Linked DNA regions of Cricetulus griseus. The protein of the gene in region 2 purifies or fractionates together with the protein of the main gene of each other region. This does not show direct contact. Links are inferred from orthologs where the notes say so. Each region holds a gene or a part of one and is shown on either strand. Other genes may lie near its edges. The genes, in order: Cul4b and Wdtc1.

Region 1 (3,816 bases), on a different chromosome or scaffold from region 2:
TCTGGGAGTTCGAGGTCAACCTGGTCTACAGAGTGAGTTCCAGGACAGACTGCAAAGCTACATAGAGAAACCCTATCTCAAAACAAAACAAAACAAAAAAGCAAAGGAGAAAAATAGATAGAGAAGTAAAACTCCATTTAACAACCCTGAGATTTAAATATCAAATGGCTTTGGTTTAATTATGATCAATGTTATAGTGAGTGATCTCTTCCATTCTAACATCAGTAAGCACTCTTGCTGGAGATGAAATGACTAGGTGAGCATGTGAGCAAGTGTGGTAATGAGAAGGCATGAGGTTTAGAGAAGCAGACTACCTTATTAAAAGTAATATTAAAAGTAATAGCTACTACATACCTACATACATACCAAACTTAGTACTACGTGTTTTGTGCTTTCCATCTCACTTAAGCCTCAAAATAATAGTGCGAGGGAGCTGGAGAGATGGCTCAGGGATTAAAAGCACTGGCCGCTCTTCCAGACAACCTAAATTCAATCCCCAGCACCCACATGGTGGCTCAGAACCTTCTGTAATGAGATCTGGGGCCCTCTTCTGGTGTAGAGGTGTGCATGCAGATAGAGCACTCATGAATGAATGAATGAATCTTTAAAAAATGGTGGAGCTAAGTATAATTATCAATTCTAAACAAGCTCAGCAAGATTAAATGCCTTATCAAAATCCAAAGCGCTAGGAATCCTAACAGCCAGGAGTCTATACAACTTCTACCAAATGTTTATTACAAAAGTTTAGAAATCTTTTAAAATTTTGAATAGTCCAGTACACCACCTCACTGTCTATAAATACCTATATTGCTGGACATTTGTATTGGAACATGTCAATACACTGACCAATTTCAGTTTACTAGAAATATTATTAGACATTTTCAAAGGCACTAAAACTACTTTACCACTAAAATACAGCCAGCAGCCTCTGTAACAGATTTGAGAAACATTTATAAGGTAACTAAACAAGATATAACTCAATCTAATAACCAAATATGTCAAATGCCAAGTTATCTCCAGAAAAGAAGATTCTAAAGATACATAGTGAATTAACTTCAAAATTTTCAAAGTCATATTTACTCATTAAACTTTCAAGTACAGGGAGGGGCTTTTGTAAATTGTTTCCCAATTTGTCACAGTTGTATACATATACCAACAACACTCTTTTGTGAACTGTATGTATGACTATAGGAAATAAATTCATGTCCTTCTAAATGGCTTTAAGCCTTTTATCTATATTTGCAAGATTATTGTCTAAAAATCAAATGTATTTTTTCATTTATAACAAGTTCAGTATGGAGACACAGAAACACCTACTTTTACTGGAAATTTCAGCTGATTGTAGACCTCTGAGACAAGAAGATTGTGGCTAAGTGTTTTCCTCATCTTCATAATTCGGACAATCGCAGCATCAATTTGGTATTGTCTATCTTGAAATACTCTTTCTGTAGTGCTTGCTTGTTCTTCAACCTAAAAAGAGTTTTCAAATGAAGTCAAACTTAATTATTAACACAAACTGTACATTAGGGACATAACAGTGTTACCTAAATGGGACCTGATAAATACAGACACAAGAGAAAAAAAACTTGACACATATAGGGCCTTTCTGTTCTAATCACACTGTTCTGTACCAATCAATACAAATAAATCAGTATCTATACAGGTTAAGAAAAAAGATACCACCTTTGAGGACTGGGGAGATAGACTCAGTTGACCAAGTGCCTGCCCTGCAAGCATGAGGACCTGATTTTTAAATTTAGATTTTCGTGAACTCATGTAAAAACTGATTCCTGGAACTCAATACCTAGCCAGCCTAGCCTAGTTAGTGAGTTCCAGGCAAGTAAAAGACCATGACAAGAAACAAGGTGGATAGCTCCTAAGGAATGACACTGGAGGTTGTCCTCTGGCCTTGCCTAAAATTCAAAATGTTCATACCCATTGATCCAAAAATTTACTTTCATGAATTCATCTTAAGGAAAAGATCACAGATTAAGATTCAGATACAGAACTTTTTTAAAAGTTTCAATGGCCATGTACAAGATTATGTAGCTATTTAGCATTCTGTTGATAGTTTACAAACGTGTGGGGGTATGTGCATTATATCAGTGCGGTTAGGGATGTCAGAGAACAACCTTGGGCATCAAGGGTCAGGAGCCTTTGACAAAACAAAACAACCAAACAACTATGTTGACTGTCAACCCTATTATGTTTACTCCTCAACAAAAAGAAACATAGAATCAAACATTGAAATGTACTAGGCTAGATGTGGGCACAGGAAATGTTAACAGTAACAAGCTGTAAATTTCAGGGCTAGAAAGATGGTTCTGCAGTTAAAAGGACCTGGGTTACATTCCAGCACCATTCACACCCATCTATAATTCCAGGTCCAGTTGATCCACTGCCCTCTTCTGGCATATGGGTCTCAGGCCTGATGTGGTGCAGACACACATGAGGCGTAACATTCAAGCACATATAATTTTTTTTTTTTTGGGTTTTCCAGACAGGGTTTCTCTGTAGCTTTGGAGGTTGTCCTAGAACTTGCTCAATAGACCAGGCAGGCTGGCCGTGAACTCACACAGATCCACCTGCCTCTGCCTCCCCGAGTTCTGGGATTAAAGTGAGCCACCACCACCTGGCTGCACATAATATTAATTTGTAGTCTGTAAATTTCTACTAGAAACACATATAAACCTAATATAGTCCAACGAGAGAGCAAAAGGCTTACCGTTTCTTTCATTTGGATTTGATTGATCTTTATCCTGAATAGTTTGTGTTTGAAATCATCATTACAAATGAATTTGTCACCATCTTCGATATCTTTGCCCTTTGGATTTTTAGTGAGAACTCTAGCTTTGCCACAGGCTAGTGATTGCAGGGTTCTCCTTAATTCTCCATCCTCTGAAGAAGAAATAATGCTTAGCAGCATGCACAACACTACATTCAACATCAATTTAATTTATAAACATTCTCTATTAAATTCTTTTTTCCCCATATCACCAACACCTGCTCTTTGTGCTATCCAGTAACATATTTTTCTAGTTGTCTTCTAAAAACATTTGTTACCCCATGCAGACAACTACTAAAATTTCTGATGTAACAGTCCCCTTCTCTAAAGTCAATCACTAAAAGGGCATACCATTTGACTGTTTTATTATCACTCCAGTATGTTCTATTCTCCATTAACCCTCTGCTTCATTGCTACTGACACTACTACTAACCTAATTCAATGAAAACCCCTAGACTCATCTTTTAAGTCCTCCTTCTCCTTCATTCCATATGGCTCTAGTAATTCCATTGCTGTTGGAATCGTTCTACTAGAAGCCCTTTAGAACTTCATATCACAATTATCTTTACAGTTTCTAGGCTAGAATCTTTTCCTGTTTCGGGTGGCTGGCCCTACTAATGCCAGGTAAGTTGTGCAAATAGGTTATTTCCTTTAAGTCACTATAGCTCAGGTTTCAGCTGTATTCATCAGTCTATTTATACATCTTACCTATTGAATTTTATAACTCACCATTCTAAGCTACAAACTTTTCATGCTTCCAACTTACACTACCCAAGCCTTTCTTCATACTAGTTCCTTTATTTCAGATGCCTTCTCTCCAACCAAAATTTAAAGGCCTAACTCAAGTCCCACTTCCTTCCACAATAATCTCTAGCTTCTCTTAACATACTTCTTGTTAGCACTACATACTGGTACTTACTGGTTTTGACATTATTAAGAATACAGAGAAGCCAGGCAGTGGTGGCACACCTTTAATCCCAGCGCTTGGGAATTCACTCTGTGAATTCAAGGCCAGCCTGGTCTACAAAATG
Region 2 (3,816 bases):
GAGTCAGAAGCATCTTCTATATAGGCTGATTTTGGCCATACAGGAATACTGTGAACTGTGCCGTTAGCCTTATGATAGGCCCACCCCAGCCCAGTTGGAAGTGGGGGAGGGGGGCTTCAATTCCAAACACTGAAGAAAACCAACAAATGCATGTCTCTAAAGAGGAAAGTGGCCCTCATTGCTGCTTGACTGTACAGACGAGAGGCAAAGAGGCAACGGGGGAGGCATGCCTCCTGTCTTGGCTCAGCGTAGGAACATGAGGGCTTTTCCCTTTCCCCTCTCCAGTAGAAAGCATCTCCACTTCCCTTTATCCATACTTTCCCTTTGGAGAAACGAGTAGAGAGGATTTGGAGCTCCTGGCGAGCACAGCCCCCTCACCATCAGCTTCCAGAGAGCTGACTTTGCCAGACAGCCAGGCCCCATCCTCCAGCCCCAGGAGGTGGAGGCCACAGCTGCTGCAGATCAGTCAGCCAGGACAGAGGGGGGTCTGGCTGAGGGAGCACTGCCTGCTGGTCAGACCCTGAGCCCCCGGCCTAGCACTTCTGGCTTTTCCAGACCACAGAACTGTCCTTGAGGGCCCCCTGCCTTGGACATAGCTTTGAAGGCCAGCAGGGGGATTTGAGGAGGTGGATGAAGGAAAAGAGAAGGAGGGCTTGGGGAGTCTAAGGTGGGCAAGATGCCAAGCCTTCTGCTGCAGAGCTGCGGGTGCCTGAGGTGAGCTGTGCACAGTTGCCGTCTGTGCCCGGCAGAGGGCAGCCCAACACTGCTTTTTACTGTCTCAAACCTCAGGGTTCCTGGCTTGCTCCTTAGCTTGCTCCATCTCCCAGGGAGGGAGTACCGGGCTAAGCCAAGGCTTCATTTCCATGTCTCCTCACTCTAAAGTCTGTTAGAGGTGAGCTGGAAGTAGCCACAGAAAATGGAGACTGAGTGGGAGCCTTGTGCTTGCTACATGGCCTCACCTCTAAGCTGCTATTCCTCTATCTTCCCAGGGATGGTGACCACTATGACGCCCTCCGGGACTGCCTCAAGGCCATCTCCTTGAACCCTTGCCACCTGAAGGCACACTTCCGTCTGGCCCGATGCCTCTTTGAACTGAAGTATGTGGCTGAGGCTCTGGAGTGCCTGGATGACTTCAAAGGGAAGTTCCCAGAGCAGGCCCACAGCAGTGCTTGTGATGCATTGGGCCGGGACATCACAGCTGCCCTTTTCTCCAAGAATGATGGTGGTGAGTGCTGAGCAGAGGTTGCTGTGGATTTCTTCCTTAGGGCTACAGGATCCCGAAAGGACGTGGTTCTGTGTTCCATCGGGAAGCCCTGGCTTCAGATGCAGATTCAGAAAACCCTAGGGCCTAAGACATAAGACAGTCTGCTGATCCCCGAAACCCAGTTTCCACACCTGAAGGGACGGCAGCCAGCACCTCCCATTGAAAGCCTCTGTTGAGGGTAGTGAGAGCATTCAAGATGCCAGGTACAGAAGTCATCTGAGCCAGTCAGGCTATGTGGACTCCAGCTGGGCCTTCCCACCTGTTTCCAGACTGGGCCGTGGCAGCTTACTGGGCTGAGGGGCAAGTGGTATTTGTTGCCTTTGTTTCAGTCTTGCAAGAGTGGCAGACACGGTGGCTAGGGCATCTGTGATGCCTTAGTTCTCAGCTCAGCTCCCCCGGGTAGAACTGTGTGTGTGTGGCCATGCATACAGCATAGCCTCCAGACCAGTGCCACCTAAGCGCACACAGAGCCTGCCCAGTTCCTCTTGCTAGAGTTGTAGGGAGAGCTGGGGTGTGGTAATATGGACTACAAACATGGAAAACGGTCTCGCTGGAGGGAGATGCCTAGCGCAGATTTGTTCATTCAGAGAATACTGTTAGGCTGAAAGCAGTGGTGCTTATCCATGCAGCCTTCTCAGTTTCTGGAGTGAGGGTGGAGGTGGGCAGCCACATGTCTCCAGCATTGGACTGCAAGCAGACAGAGCTAGAGGAGCCAGTGAGCATGTGGGGGAAAGCCTCTCACCTCTCCTTGATCTCTGCCTCCAGAGGAGAAGAAGGCAGCTGGTGGCGGTCCAGTTCGCCTCCGCAGCACAAATCGCAAGGATTCCATCTCAGAGGATGAAATGGTGCTACGGGAACGGAGCTACGACTATCAGTTCCGCTACTGTGGCCACTGCAACACCACAACAGACATCAAGGAGGCAAACTTCTTTGGCAGGTCTGAGGCCCGTATCACAATTGGCAGCAGGAGTTTGTGGGCTGTGGCCACTCATTGCCTGGCCCGCCTTTGTGGCCTGCCCTTGGGTATCTCTGCTAGGCTCTGTTTGTCTGTTCGGTGAAGCCAGCCATGTACCGCTCAGGAGTCACAGCAGACTGCCCTGAATGCAGCATCCAGCACTGTGCTGGAGCAGTCTCCTCTGCCCCTCCCGACTCTGTCTCCTATCCCAGAGCTTGCTTGCTTTATCTGGGCAGTTGGAGCTTTTCTCTGCTGCTGAAAGGGGAGGCAACAACTGTCAAAGGCTGGGCACCTCAGACCACTGTGCTTGGAACTGTGCCCTAGGTACTGAGGGACAGAGCCTGTATTCTCAGACACTGCCACCCTAAGCCCCATCCTTCCTTCGTTTATACCCTTTGGGTAGGTAAGGCACAAGGACATAAATCAAGCAAGTCTTCTCTGCCAAGATGAGGGCTCACAGTTATGAGGCCTGTGTTGTGGGTGGACTGTAGGATTTGATAGCTGGACCCAAGAAGTCTTGGAGTTCTGAGTGAGCCTTAACTAGATGAGGGTGTTCTTAGAGACCTAAGCGATGGATACAAGAGTTAGTCCAACACCAAGGAGGTAATGGTGTACCTTGGGGATACTGTGGTACCATCTTGGAAGGACCCAGAGAATCACTGATATTGGGTGTTTTGTTGTTATTTTGTTGGGGTTTTTTGTTGTTTTGTTTTTCTGGACAGGGTTTCTCTGTGTAGCCCTATCTGTCCTGGGACTCTCTGTAGACCTGGCTGGCCTTGAATTCACAGAAATCCACCTGTCTCTGCCTTCCGAGTATTAGGATCAAAGGTGTGCTCAGTCCTCTACCCCAACTGATGTTGAATTTTCATACAGTAATGACTAGTACCTGTAGTATGGAGGAGGAAGACCATTTGCCTAGGAGAGTTCTGAGTCAAGGGTAGCTCCTTGAGTGTGGGGGACTGAGTGGTCCCAGGCTTCGCCGTTTCCCTCAAGCCTTTACTTGAGGCTTTAGGCCAGTCTCCCACCTGACCTTCCTGCCATTTGTCCCCTGCCAGCAACGCTCAATACATCGTCAGTGGCTCTGATGATGGCTCCTTCTTCGTCTGGGAAAAGGAAACCACCAACTTAGTCCGAGTGCTCCAGGGGGATGAGTCCATTGTCAACTGCTTGCAGCCGCATCCCAGCTATTGCTTCCTGGCCACCAGTGGCATTGACCCTGTTGTGCGACTCTGGAATCCACGGCCAGAGGTGAGGACACAGGCAAGGTGGCCAAAGCCAGACAACAAGGAGCGTAGGGACTGTGTTTAGAGCCTCGGGCTGAGCTTCAGTGCTGGGGAAGGGAATGAGCCATATAGCCTAGAAGCTGCTGGGAAGGTGGGAACCCCGGGCCCAGGAAGTCCTAAGTACAGTGGGGCATTTCTGGGGTGAGACTGGCTTTCACAGTCTTGGAACATCTCCTTGAGCTAGATGTGAAGGTGAAATACCCATCCACCAAGAGCAGGTATGCAAAAAGGAAGACAGGACTGGACCAGCCTCTCAAGAGAGTGCCCTAAGCTCCCCAGAGGCCTTTCTCTTCAGAAGCTGCTCTGAGGTCTGA

Evidence for each region.
Region 1: the proteins of Wdtc1 (region 2) and Cul4b purify together in Homo sapiens (affinity purification with mass spectrometry; 4 studies listed by BioGRID and IntAct, counting the BioPlex papers as one, with this or other methods). This does not show direct contact. The link is inferred for Cricetulus griseus from reciprocal best matches to the Homo sapiens genes WDTC1 and CUL4B.

Annotation. Positions count from the first base shown.
Region 1 is NC_048604.1:28,555,054-28,558,869, reverse strand, and holds part of Cul4b (cullin-4B), read right to left. Parts: intron 2,899-3,816; coding exon 2,726-2,898; intron 1,471-2,725; coding exon 1,318-1,470; intron 1-1,317.
Region 2 is NC_048595.1:19,981,668-19,985,483, forward strand, and holds part of Wdtc1 (WD and tetratricopeptide repeats protein 1), read left to right. Parts: intron 1-989; coding exon 990-1,225; intron 1,226-2,029; coding exon 2,030-2,201; intron 2,202-3,274; coding exon 3,275-3,467; intron 3,468-3,816. UniProt on the Homo sapiens protein: May function as a substrate receptor for CUL4-DDB1 E3 ubiquitin-protein ligase complex.